2 linked regions of the Mytilus edulis genome follow. The protein of the gene in region 1 binds, or shares a complex with, the protein of each later gene. Links are inferred from orthologs where the notes say so. Each region holds a gene or a part of one and is shown on either strand. Other genes may lie near its edges.

Region 1 (7,203 bases):
CGTATCAATTGGGAGATATATACCCCGTATGCAGGTGCGGCTGGAATGTTGCTACTTAGAAATGGAAAGTTCACAATTGGAAAGCTGAAATCATCTCTTTTGTCGTAAAGTTTTGTTTTCAACCGACCCTCATTGTCAATTTCTAGATGTAAGTCAAGATATGAAGCCGACTTAACTGTATCTGTAGTATTCTTTATCTCTAGTTCGATGGGATAGATGCGTTCCACATAGTCACCAAATTTTGAATTGTTTAGTGAAAGAACATCATCTATATAGCGGAAAGTAGAGTTAAAGGATATTGCTAACTTCTTATCTTTCTTCCTAAGAAGTTCCTGCATGAAATCAGCCTCATAATAATAAAGAAACAAGTCGGCAAGTAGAGGGGCACAGTTTGTTCCCATTGGAATGCCGACAGTCTGTTGAAAAACACGTCCTCCGAACGTAACAAATATGTTGTCAATCAATAAATCAAGCATCTTGATAGTATCAGTTTCAGAGAATTTTTTGTTTGAATCGAAAGTTATGTAGCAATGCATGTGCTGTTAATATGTTGCATGCCTATAATCATTTATTAGAGTATACTCATTATATTAATTCTGTGTAATTATGCAATTGGGTACTATATAGGAGTAAGAACTTACCAACATGTGATAGTGTTCCTTCTATATTAGACAACGCTTTAAGCTGGAAATCTTGGTAATTCGCCAAGATAAGAACAAATCCCGAGACTAAAATATATAATTTATAATGACAATCTAACAAAATACAATATGTATATCAAAAAGTGACTTATATCATCAAAGAGTACAGGGTGTAAATATTAAAATTGTGCATGAAGATACAGTAAAAAAATATGAAGAATTGGATAAAACGTTTGATTAATTTAGTACAACTTGATAAATGGCATTTAATATTTTATTGAATACTTGTTAACCTGATTTGAACGTTGTCACTTCAACAGTATCTGTTTTAATTTCTGATTTGTCTGAACCTTCTGCTTCCATCCTAATGTGATATGTCGTATTTCTTTCGAGTTTCGATATAATACAGGAATCGACAGTTCCGTTTAGAGTTACTGACACATACGCATTATCATCTTCCGTAACAGGTTTATGGAACACTGTGTAAGATTCAACTTCGCCAAACTGTAAATTATCCCATCGTACCTCTATTTCAGTTGGAGATAAAGCATAAACTGCCACTGCATCTCTTGCTAGGACTGCAAAACATTGAATTTTCACAAATGAGTTAATTATTTAGATTGGAATAAAAAAAAATATTATATAATACCCCAATCGCATTGAAATGCAGACCTTTTGCAAACGTTTCTCATACAAGAGTCTAAACCCACCCTCAAAACATTAAGTTTGAATTTTTTATGCCAAGTAGTATCGTTTCGGCCTGCAAATGTGTAAATGTATATTTCAGAAAAACAAATTTCTAAGATACTGAAAAGTCTGTCTGTCTTTACAGTGTTGTTAATTCCTTTAAAGATAGTCAATAAGTTATCTACTAAAAATGGGTACTTTCAAGCATTTATGTCATAAAGAATATATGTTTTTCGTCCTATCATTTTTGTGTCGATTACACAACGGTACTAATATAAGATGGTATTATACGAAGATGTTGTTATTAAATTGTGTTGACAAATATTTTGGCTAAGCAAATAGCCTTCGTCAGTGTCGATTATTATAAATATATATATATACAACTCGTCTAAACAGCAACCCAACAACGTTAGATCTGTAAATTTGCTTTCGCAAATTTTTGTTCTTCCCTCGTCGGGATATATACATATATATATCTTAATATTAAACTTACGTATTTGTTAGTATATTCTTACTTCTAGTTTCTTTGAAGTCAGTGTCAGTTTGAAGTCGTTGTATGTCATTCTGAAGAGCCTCGATCTCTTCCAGCAATTTTTTATTTGAAAAATCATCTTTTTGTATCTTTAGCGCTTCTAGTCTTTCAGATAATTCATCGATGGTCAACTCGTCTATTAGTTCTTGGTTTGTTAAATCTGTCTCGCTTATATGTTCATCGTCTAGACTTTTGGTGCCGTGACCAGGAGAAATTAAAAGAAACAGACGAGTATCATTTTTATTATTCAGGAGATATGTTTTTTTCAATCTTTTCAAAAACTTCTAATCACGAAAGTAATTGTGTTATATAACAAAATGAAAATGTGAATGTTTCAGAGTAAATGGTTCTTTATTTTCAAATGTATCATCAGTTAGAATACCGTTTCACATTGTGGTTATTCGAAACCATTACAATACCAAGAATGATTCTGTTTATCGAAATATCTATATAAATTAAGCATATTTGAGATTATTTTTTGTTTTTATATTCTAAATTCACGGTATTAAATGCTTACTTAATACTCTCTTCTTTTGCTTTTCATGGATCTTTATCTCATTTTGAAGTTTATTTATTTCTTTAAGTAATTGCTGCTGTGATAAAAGTTCTTTTTCTTGTTCCAGCTTTTGTAGTGTTTTCAGTAACTCATCATCTGTAAAATTCTCCAGTTCACTAACGTCAATCGTGTCTGACGTCTCCTCTTTTGTGATAGTATTCATTATCGGCGTAGACATTATTTTTCATCTGAGAAAATCTGAAAAATGTTACCGTATTTTTTTTTTTTTGCTTTTAAAATACAAGTCAATTACTTCGTAAAATTTATCGTATTCCGTGTCGTGCTTTTTAACAAAACTGTTTCTAAAGAAGATTGCAGTTAACTAACATATCGTACATAATGATGTGTTTGTTACTGTTACGATATTAACTTTCACTGATGTTACATATATGCCCAATGTGAAACCTTGACAGTTCTTTGCACCTAAATAATGAAATTTTACCTGTTTTTAACATTATAGATTTTCGTTACCTGTTTTTGATAGTATACACTTCCGTTCGACATGTTGTTTAAACAATAAAAGTATTGTTGAGTCGCTGAATTAAATGTTCCAAATGATTGCATGCAACTATATATTTAGCATATTATAACTATATAATACTGAAATTATAATTACCTTTAAAAAATATTGAAACAAGCAGAGTGAAGAAAAACTATCATATTTTAAAAATGTATGTCTAGATTTATTTTAGTCCCTCAATTTTTTACATTATATTTTTTCAGTTGGTTTTGTTGTTTTTTATGGATGTATATATTCAGCTTAGATTAAAATTGAACAAAAATCGACTTCAGCTGTTGATAAGTAATGAATTTGAATTGTTTAATCAAAACCCATTTGTTTTTCCACTTTTACTGTTTGTTTTATTTATTCTGACCTAGTGGTCCTTAAAGTATAAAAGCCTCCTTTTCGTAATTTTATATATTTTGTATTCCAAATTTTATATAATGGTAGTGTCCAGTGTGTGCACCACTTATTGCAGACCTGTTTCTGTATTGTTGTGAGTTAAAATTTATTTATTAAAATCAGCAAAGACCCATCGAAACTACGTCTGATACAAAAATTAAATGATACTTTTAGATATTTGGATTATATATTTGTTCTCAATAATGACGAGATTTATCCTGTAGAACTAACTTTAAATGAAAATAGTGCTAACAATGTACACTGCCCTTTCCTGGATCTTGATATCTATATCATTAACGAGAAGCTTAAAACCAAAATGTATGATAAAAGTGAATGATTTTTCATTTCCTATTGTTAATTTGTGCCGAAATTTAGTCTCATTTTCAAAAATAATCATATTTGTTATAAAAATATAATTTAACGGCATATTTCTTCCATTTCAACCATCCTTTGAAGTTTTTACACCTCAAAATCATAAAACGGCGAATATGAGCGCCCCACTCTAACAGAAATTGATATGTACATGAATTTTCCTATATATTTGTTTCCCCAATTTCACATTCAAAGAGTTTTTTTTTATGGCACGATTGCAGCAAATATATTTGCGATCGTGACTTCAAAGCACCATATTTGATTGAATTATAAAACTTTGTCTTTAAAAGATGTTGCAGTAGCTCAAACAAAATACCCCCCGCCCCGGATAATTTGACTACATTTTAATTCACGATATTCGTCAGAACATATACAACCCTTTCTCTTTTTAAATGTTTAGTATCCACTTGCCTAGATACAACAATATGTTTAGTATTAGTTTTTCAACCAAATTCAAACGATGAATCATGTCGTACGATACAAATGACGCAATATTGGTCAAAATTTGGCGGGAATTATTAACTCCCTTGCGTAGAAAATTTATTTCAGGAAGGATAACTCAAATTCAGCGGAAGTCAACTTCTTCAGGCGGTGCTGAAAATGAAAACACAGTAAAGAAAGCGGATCAAACAAGCATTTCTACTAGTTTGCCAGTGTTTGGTATCTATTTGAAACATGTTACCAAAGGGTTAAAAACTGATGTACGTATTTCAATTAGTAGAATACACAATAATTTCAAAACACACCTATACTAGATGAACGAATTTTATAAAATGAAGGGTCTCACATTTTATAAAAAATATATTTTCGCCTTATCATTAAAAATTATATCACAATATGCGTAATGTGAGGTGGTACTGTAGATTGTCTCTTTATTTCATTCCTTGAAGAAACCATGCATAAAAATAGGATCTGATATAGAAATAATTTGATTCAAATAAACCTGATTTTTGAAATAAGGACAAATGTATCTACATTGTATGGGTATCGTCGTGTCATATGTTTTTGTATGTCATATGTTTTCGTATCAACCACATTTCGTCGGTTTCGACTGCATACGCGTACATTGTGGCATGTTTTTCTGTTTCTATATTTAGAACAACAACACCACTACAACTTGATATATTTAAAACATATTCAACGTCGCTTTTTAAAGACGTTAGAACAAATTAAATAAAACTGACCTATTTAGCCATTTTTATTTAATGTCAAAAATACGCATCACTAGAATAGTTGTGGAAAAAAATTCTGAAGGGTTAAAATAAAGTCCAGATATGTTTTTTGCAAGTCAGACACCGGATCTTCAAGACATATGACTGTCATGTGTTTTTTTGGCCGTTTTAATTACAAACCATCGAGTTAAAATTAGCAGGGTTTTTATATAAAATGGTTGTTCAAAATCCAACTATTTAATATTTCATTGAAATTTTTAGATTTTGATTAATTTTCAGATTGGCACCTGGTTTGTACAAAATACATTATTTTTTCTAAAATAAAATGCAGTTTTCAAAATTTATGATTAAATATAAAAAGTTAAGACTGTTTTCATCTTCATGTATCAAGGATGTATAAAAAAAACATAGAGAGAACTCAACATCTATGTCATCATTGCTTATCACATGGATCAAATTCTATTGAAGATGAGACCCATTTTACAGTAAATTGTCCATTATATGATGAACAGAGGAAATTATTATATGATAAAGCTACAACTTTTTGTACTAATTTTAAAGAACTACCTAATGATAAGAAATATTTCTGGCTGTTCACAAATGAGCATTTACCAACTCTCATGTGCCTAGGAAATTACATTATTAAAGGGTTAGAAATAAGATCCAGATGTAAACAAAATATATGAAGTAATTTAGTATTTTATTGTTATAAGATTTAATATAATAGTTATATAAAACACATGTTGTGTTAGGCTCTGATCCTGTTCATAACGTTAAAGTATGTATTAAACAGTGTATTAAAAAATGTTAGAATTATTATTAAATTGGAATTTAGGTAAATTTGTGCTAGGGACATTTTTCATGCCTCACATGTATTCAAAAGAGAATATACAAATGAGTCATGTCAACATCATATCCATACTGTAAATAATTACTGAGTTTTGTTGTTGATTTATGACTTGCCGTTATGTAGGTGGATGCAGCTTATCTATTACTGCCTACAGTTGTGTCATATACCTTTATAATGAAGTTAGTTAGATGAAGCTGTATTATGTACAGGGTTAGTTGACTGAGGCCGTGCTGTGCACAGGGTTAGTTGACTGAGGCCGTGCTGTGCACAGGGTTAGTTGACTGAGGCCGTGCCATGCACAGGGTTAGTTGACTGAGGCCGTGCTGTGCACAGGGTTAGTTGACTGAGGCCGTGCCATGCACAGGGTTAGTTGACTGAGGCCGTGCTGTGCACAGGATTAGTTGACCGAGGCTGTGCTATGCGCAGGGTTAGTTGACTGAGGCCGTGCTGTGCACAGGGTTAGTTGACTGAGGCCGTGCCATGCACAGGGTTAGTTGACTAAGGCCGTGCCATGCACAGGGTTAGTTGACTGAGGCCGTGCTGTGCACAGGGTTAGTTGACTGAGGCTGTGCCATGCACAGGGTTAGTTGACTGAGGCCGTGCCCTGCACAGGGTTAGTTGACTGAGGCCGTGCTGTGCACAGGGTTAGTTGACTAAGGCCGTGCCAGGCACAGGGTTAGTTGACTGACTGAGGCCGTGCTGTGCACAGGGTTATTTGACTGAGGCTGTGCAGTGAACTGGGTTAGTTGACTAAGACTATGCTGTGCACAGGGTTAGTTTACTGAGGCTGTGATGTGCACAGGGTTAGTTGACTTAGTCTGTGCAAACTGGTATGTGTATACATGTGTCATTTTTGTGAAGCAATGATCTTTACAATGCTTTAAAATATTTGCCTTCTTAATGTTTTTGTTTCTAGTTTGTATACTTTCTCTTCTGTCAATAGCATTATTAAATCAGATACATAATATTCTGAAGTCATATTTAGCTCCTCTCAAACAAACAACTTTGTATGTCTGCAAATTTATTTTTATGCATTTTCAGATTTGCATTATTTCTGTTACTTTATGTCACTTGCCACTGTAATGCTAGCATGGTGAATGTATTTTGCTTTCAACAAATGGGTCACTAGCTAGTCATTTTAAATACTTAGAACAGTTAAGAGTTCTGGCTATATAGCTAGCTCTTCAATTTGAAGATCAAAATATGGAGATGGGGTATTAATTCGCCGTTTCAGAATCTAATGCATCCTGGGTAATATTTCCAAAAGTGTACAGCAAAACGTCATGATTGGTTAAAAATGTCATAAACAATGAAAATTTAACCAATGACGTGACGTTATTTTCACTTTGGGGTACGAACAATGAAATTACCCATGATGCTTTAGATTCTGAAACGGCCAATTACAATGTTTGAGACAACTATTATATTCATAATGCTTTCTTCAATATACAGTTCTGTTTAACATAATAATTTCTTATGGATACATTAC
Region 2 (7,764 bases), on another chromosome or scaffold:
ATATGAGGATGATTCTTAAATAATCATTTCCAAATGGTGAAGTTGAAAACATCTCTATATTATATATATGTTAATTTTACGGACGCCATCACAAGTTGGTTGACCGTTATGGAATATACCTTTCACAGATGATATCTGATATGTTCCTTATGTAGTAACTACAATCCAATTCCCTTTTCACAAATGTGACCTACTGAATAAATCTATTTACCCGATTTGAAATAATGTGAGCAACACGACAGGTGCAACATGTGGAGCAGGATTGGCTTATCCTTCTGGAGCACCTGATATCACCCCCAGTTTTTAGTGGGGTTTGTGGAGTTAAGTCTTTAGTTTTCTATGATGTGTCTTGTGTACTATTTTGTGGCTGTTCGTCTTTTGTATTTTTAGCCATGCGTTGTCAGTTTATGTTTGATCTATGAGGTTGAATGTCCCACTGCTATCTTTCGCCCCTCTATTTAAAATGACATTAAAATAATATCTATAATAAAAAACAAACAATTGAAACTCCCCATATGGCCTTCAAAGTTAAGTGTGATTTTTCAACAGTACACAGTGTTAATGTGGAAGTATTTTTTTTAGTTTCTGCTGTTGACAGTTACATTTTGTAGTTTCTCCACTGAAGATGATTCAATTTTAGAATTTAAAATCTTAAATCTAACTATTGAGAGTAATGAAAAAATGAACTTCATTAGCAAAAATATTGTCATGTCATGACTAATGATAAACAAGGACTATGTTGCCAACTAATTTACCAATTAACAACTTAAAAAAATACCAACCAATAAAACAACTGGGGAAGAACAATATCATATGAAAGTAAAATAAATGATATGCTTTCTAGCTTAAGGGTTGCATCAAGCTGGTATTTTAAATACTTACTTAGATAATAAATAACTGTGATGATAAAAGTAACATCATCAGGTTGATTTGTCAAATTTTCTGGACTATTTCTGAACCATAACTCTGCCAAAACCAACGATGGAATCCTCAGAATAACTCCAACTACAGCCTCAACTTGTTCTCTCTGAACCTTCACCTGCCACATCATCAAATCTAGAATAAAATAACTAAGTTAAATAGTTACATTTGTTACCTTATATCTTACTTATAAGCATGATAAGGTCTTGTATTTACAAAATTATTTCAGTTGTTTTTTTTGTTAAACAGGCTTATCGTGTGATAAAATTTGAATAAGGACAATAAATTATTAATTACAAATGTCACTTATTCAAGTAGAGAATAAGAGGGACTGTATCAAGTTTTAACAAGTATGTAGCAAAATATTCATTTTTTTATTATGGGTAATACGGATACAACTAGAGGCTCCAAAGAGCCTGTGTCGCTCACCTTGGTCTATGTGAATATTAAACAAAGGACGCAGATGGATTCATGACAAAATTGTGTTTTGGTGATGGTGATGTGTTTGTAAATCTTACTTTACTGAACATTCTTGCTGCTTACAATTATCTCTATCTATAATGAACTTGGCCCAGTAGTTTCAGAGGAGAAGATTTTTGTAAAAGATAACTAAGATTTACGAAAAATGGTTCAAAATTGACTATAAAGGGCAATAACTCCTAAAGGGGTCAACTGACCATTTCAGTCATGTTGACTTATTTGTAAATCTTACTTTGCTGAACATTATTGCTGTTTACAGTTTATCTCTATCTATAATAATATTCAAGATAATAACCAAAAACAGCAAAATTTCCTTAAAATTACCAATTCAGGGGCAGCAACCCAATAACAGGTCGTCCGATTCATCTGAAAATTTCAGGGCAGATAGATCTTGACCTGATAAACAATTTTACCCCATGTCAGATTTGCTCTAAATGCTTTGATTTTTGAGTTATAAGCCAAAAACTGAATTTTACCCCTATGTTCTATTTTTAGCCGTGGCGGCCATCTTGGTTGGTTGACCGGGTCACGCCACACATTTTTTAAACTAGATACCCCAATGATGATTGTGGCCAAGTTTGGTTTAATTTGGCACAGTGGTTTCAGAGGAGAAGATTTTTGTAATAGATTACTAAGATTTACAAAAAATGGTTAAAAATTGACTATAAAGGGCAATAACTCCTAAAGGGGTCAACTGACCATTTCAGTCATGTTGACTTATTTGTAAATCTTACTTTGCTGAACATTATTGCTGTTTACAGTTTATCTCTATCTATAATAATATTCAAGATAAATAACCAAAAACAGCAAAATTTCCTTAAAATTACCAATTCAGGGGCAGCAACCCAACAACAGGTTGTCCGATTCATCTGTAAATTTCAGGGCAGATAGATCTTGACCTGATAATCATTTTTACCCCGTCAGATTTGCTCTAAATGCTTTGGTTTTTGAGTTATAAGCCAAAAACTGAATTTTACCCCTATGTTCTATTTTTAGCTGTGGCGGCCATCTTGGTTGGTTGGCCGGGTCACGCCACACATTTTTTAAACTAGATACCCCAATTGTGATTGTGGCCAAGTATGGTTTAATTTGGCCCAGTAGTTTCAGAGAAGAAGATTTTTGTAAAAGATTACTAAGATTTACGAAAAATGGTTAAAAATTGACTATAAAGGGCAATAACTCCTAAAGGGGTCAACTGACCTTTTCGGTCATGTTGACTTATTTGTAAATCTTACTTTGCTGAACATTATTGCTGTTTACAGTTTATCTCTATCTATAATAATATTCAAGATAATAACCAAAAACTGCAAAATTTCCTTAAAATTACCAATTCAGGGGCAGCAACCCAACAACAGGTCGTCCGATTCATCTGAAAATTTCAGGGCAGATAGATCTTGACCTGATAAACAATTTTACCCCATGTCAGATTTGCTCTAAATGCTTTGGTTTTTGAGTTATAAGCCAAAAACTGCATTTTACCCCTATGTTCTATTTTTAGCCATGGCGGCCATCTTGGTTGGTTGGCCGGGTCACGCCACACATTTTTTAAACTAGATACCCCAATGATGATTGTGGCCAAGTTTGGTTTAATTTGGCCCAGTAGTTTCAGAGGAGAAGATTTTTGTAAAAGTTAACGACGACGGACGACGACGACGGACGACGGACGACGGACGACAGACGACGACGACGGACGCCGGACGCAAAGTGATGGGAAAAGCTCACTTGGCCCTTCGGGCCAGGTGAGCTAAAAATAAAAGTCAACACTGCAGTCCTTAATAATTTTCAATATTATTAATTGGAGTGTTTCATTTTGATTTGTTGTTTTTTTGTGTCAATACTGATTAAGGACCACATCTTTTTTTTTAATCAACAGGGAGGATACATGTTGTCATGCTTACAATATTTTCAATTTACTCTTTTAAGCTAGATCCTATAGTTTTTGAAACAAAAGTAAATGTAAAAACTTTAAAAACTTTAAAAATTCAGGGGCAATAACTCCAAAATAGGTGTTAATATTTCAAAATTATTCATGGTAGATTATAATATTAGAACTTGTGGTAATGTGCTTAACAGTACTATTTCTCGAATTGTTTTAATTCGTAAATATTAGCCTAGACTATTCTTTGGCCCTATGACAGTCATCTGATGATGTTCATGTTGGTTCATCAAAAATCACAAACTAAGAAGAAGCAGAAAAACTCTGGTTTAAATCCATTGAAGTTTCAGAGAAGACTATTAAAGAAAAGTTTATGTATGACAAAAGGATGCAAAGTAATGGCAACAGGTTAACTTGCTCAAAAAAGATAACAGAAATATCAATCAAAATAATTTGACAAAACTAAGACCCCACCTGCTACCAGGAAAAATTTAAATAATAACAGTTGCAAAAATAGAATGGGTAGTTTCTGCAATGTATGTTGATAGGTATGAAGGATGGGAAATTTGAACTCTATATGGTAATGCACTTAAATGCAGTTTTCAAAAGTGGAAGCTAGGTCATATGAGTTCAGTGGACCGTGAAATTCGGGTAAAATCTCTAATTTGGCATTAAAATTAGAAAGATCATATCATAGGGAACATGTGTGCCAAGTTTGAAGTCAATTGGACTTCAACTTCATCAAAAACTACCTTGACCAAAAACTTTAACCTGAAGCGGGACAGACGGACGAACGGACGGACGAACGGACAGACGAACAGACGCACAGACCAGAAAACATAATGCCCCTCTACTATCGTAGGTGGGGCATAAAAATATCATAACGACCTATAAGGAGCTATCAGGATCACAGCTACCCCAGCATAAAATTGTTTAGTCACAATAGTTATGAAGGTGTCACAGACAAAAAATAAAATAGCCTTTCAAAATTATTTGGGCTTAGAAAAGTTAAGAATAAATTCAACATTGATTATAAAAGAGAAGTTATTGGGTCTTCCAGGAATATAGGACTAAATCCATGGGGACAATGCCAGCTGTCAGCTAGTTTCAACATTTTACAAGCACTGTCATTTTGGTATTTGATATGAAACAAAATCATATGATATAATGTAGGAATTTTAAACTATTTACTGTTGTTATATTATGGCCTAAGGATACTTTCAGGTGGTTGAAATTCTGCTGTCTGCTTTGATCTATAATTTACATTAATATACAAAACAAATGACGGATGAGGACCTGTTTATCTTTTGTATTCATTTTTTATTCTAACCTCAATTTTGTAAAACAAACTAATCTTCTTTTAAAAATTAACATTGATAAACAACTGTTTCATCTTAAGAACATAGTGAGTGATCTGATTTGATTACAAGCAGCCTGGATTAATAAATAGTGTTGTCTTCTAAGTGCTGCAAATCATCACTACAACGAGCAAGAAAACACCGGAAGTTAATATTTGACAGATCGATCATGTCGTATTTCGGAAAATTTAAACATTTTTCCAATGTTTTGATACGAATACCACCTCTATTTATTATTGATAGTTTGTTGAATGGTTCATTGTTGAAAGTTGTATACCAGAGTGTTCATCCAGAGTATAGTTTGTATCCAATAACCACATGGACACAGTTGTTTCAATGGCTAGCTACGTCTTTCACCAGTGCGTACAACTTGATACTGTTATACAATGTTTATACAGTTGCAATACAATGTCAACTAGTTATCTATTGTTTGTTTTTTTTTTTTTTTTTAAAGATATTTTCATACATCCCTTGTTTCTTTTGAAAATACTTCAAGGAAAAAATCACTTTGGAGATAAGTAAACATCTTTTAAAAATATGTTCAAGTTTAAAAGCTTTCTTTCAAGGCAGTGTCTGTGGGTAAGAATAGTCAAATTGCCATTCGTAGTCTATGCATACCCACATCCGGTGTTATAATAAAATACCATCGGATCGGAAATGAAATGTGCACAATAATTTTCAATAATATGGGGATTTCATGTACAACGAGTGAAGTGAATGAAAAATAATATTTTCAAATTGTATTTATTAGATAATAATACACAATAAACATTGCAAATTAAATGTACACTGAAGAAAAATGAAACTATACAGTCCCTGTAAAAGAAAAACATGATAAAAATTAATACATGTACATGTAATACTAGTATAAAACATGTAAAATGTAATTGCAAATTTAAAGAATTAAATTTTACTGGATTTAGAAAATATCCATATGAGATTTTAAAATAATCTTTAAGTAAAAATGTAAAACAAAAATGGAAATTTAAAAACTACTTAAATTAAAGCTTGGATGTCTATATAAAAATTAAAGAAGCAAGCAATAATATTTAATAATGTCAAATTAAACCAATTTTGTCCATCTTTAAATTAGTCACGCCAAGTCTAAAGTAGTCCGTGCCTAATTTCAATGTTTGTAGTTTGATATCTATTTATATATTGAGCAGTTATCTCATCTTATTAAAAACATTTATCATTTATATGTTTTGTAGTTTAGTGTGATTTTCCATTTTCTTTGAACTACTCAACTAGTACACATTTTGTCATGGGCCAGGCGAATCCTGCCTCTGTGTGTAGGATTTTCTTGCTGTGTTGAAGACCCATTGGTGGCCTTGGTTGCTTTCTGCTCTTTGGTTGAGTTGTTGTCTCTTTGACATATTCCCCATTTGATTTTCTATTCTCAATTTTATTTAAAACAAAGAAATACATAATAAAAGCAAGTCGTTACATAACATGATTAAATATAAGCATTCATGAAAGTAAATACAATATAAATGACATTATAAAGTTCACTTTGTATTTCTATGCTCAAATATTAGATTAGAAAAGTAAGCAATCATAGGTTGTATACAAAATGTATATATTTCAGTTATTTATGTTGAACATCTTCTTGCCTTTTAATCCAATCAGGAATGGTGTTTATTTAAGGTGGTTCATTGCATGGTTATATTACATGTATATATATAGATTTCCTCGATAATAGTTCTTCTTCTTCACCAGATTGTATATTTTTCGCATTTCCATGATTTTTTCAAAAATGTTATTAAAAGAATGGGTCATGTCCTGTTTTTCAAGCTACAAATCTTTTAAAGTTGCCCAAATTTGCAAAGATTGTTTGTGACAAAACACTTGTTTTGTTAATTGAAAGAAAGTTGTGAGATAAAATTTTGGAAATAACTTATAACTTGATAGGTTTTAAAATATATGCTTTAAGAAAATAAAAAGAAAAAATAGTGTCACCTTTTTTTCTTGCTAAAAGAAAAAAATGAAAATTTCTCCAACATTCACTGTCATTCCTTGATTAAAAAAATATTCAACATTTGAGTTATCTCCCCATAAAAGGCTAAGTTGACAATTTGTATAGAACAAACACAAACATTTGGTATTTGATTAGATCAATCTATATACATTGTAATGCAATAATTATAAATTACTTGTTTTTCTTTAATCAAAATATTAAAATGTTCTCTTTCTTAATTTTTTCTCCCTCAGCTGCTTAATCATGTTAATGGTGACCTCTATTTTTGTCACACTTGCAACACACAGAAAGCTGTCTAAGTAACTGTTATTCTGAATTGATTATAAGCAATAAGGTGTGTACGGTTCCTGTCTCATTAATGTATAGGCCATGTCTTCTTTTATTCAGATTTACTAAAAACACCATCAACTCTGTCTTTGACAACTAATTTTGAAAAAGATATAAAGGAGTACTACAATAATAGGACTAATTTAGTTTTTGAACAGCCACATTTGTGCTTGCGTGCATGTACCTGATAGGGTTCATCTGATCGTGACCTTATTTACAAACATTAATGATAATGTATTTAGTATATATATACTAGAACACACCTGTGATATCGCGGGTCCGTGGATGAATTAAAGTATATATCTATGCGTAAGCCTTATTTTAGTATTGGTATTGTCATCTGATAAAGTCATGTCAATTATAAGATACACAGTTTTCTCTGCTTTCAAAATCTTTGTTTGAACCCGTCAACCTGGAACTTATCAATTATTGGTAATATTAATTATTTGGAAAACAAAAGGTCCTGGAATGGAGTATTTTTTAATCAACAGTATTGTCCTATATTAGTTATAAATAAGGTTGAGTTCTTTTATTCGCTGTTTTACATCATGCCCGTTCAAAAATTGAAAACTGTACCTATATATACGCATTATCATAAAAGTCCAGATTTTTAGTATTCATATTGTTATGTAAGAAAGTCTTACTGATTAAAATACTACAATAGGGAACAATTTGACAATGATTGAATTTAGAAGGGTCAACCCTGTGATTATGACCCGTGTATAAAGCAAATCCTAAATACATCGTTTGGTGGTGCGCCTTTCAGATGCGGAACGTACAGATAAGATAAGGTAATAGGTAACAGGTGAATATACTATTCGTAT

Evidence for each region.
Region 2: sterol regulatory element-binding protein cleavage-activating protein-like (region 1) and protein TRC8 homolog share a complex: the UniProt entries of both Homo sapiens proteins name them as parts of the SCAP-SREBP complex. The link is inferred for Mytilus edulis from reciprocal best matches to the Homo sapiens genes SCAP and RNF139.

What each region holds. Positions count from the first base shown.
Region 1 is NC_092345.1:82,816,836-82,824,038, forward strand, and holds the start of sterol regulatory element-binding protein cleavage-activating protein-like, read left to right. Parts: upstream 1-4,197; 5' UTR 4,198-4,393; intron 4,394-7,203. UniProt on the Homo sapiens protein: Escort protein required for cholesterol as well as lipid homeostasis.
Region 2 is NC_092347.1:69,540,591-69,548,354, reverse strand, and holds the start of protein TRC8 homolog, read left to right. Parts: upstream 1-4,758; 5' UTR 4,759-4,804; coding exon 4,805-4,994; intron 4,995-7,764. Other genes in the region: RING finger protein 145-like, read right to left, coding at 883-1,051. UniProt on the Homo sapiens protein: E3-ubiquitin ligase; acts as a negative regulator of cell proliferation through mechanisms involving G2/M arrest and cell death.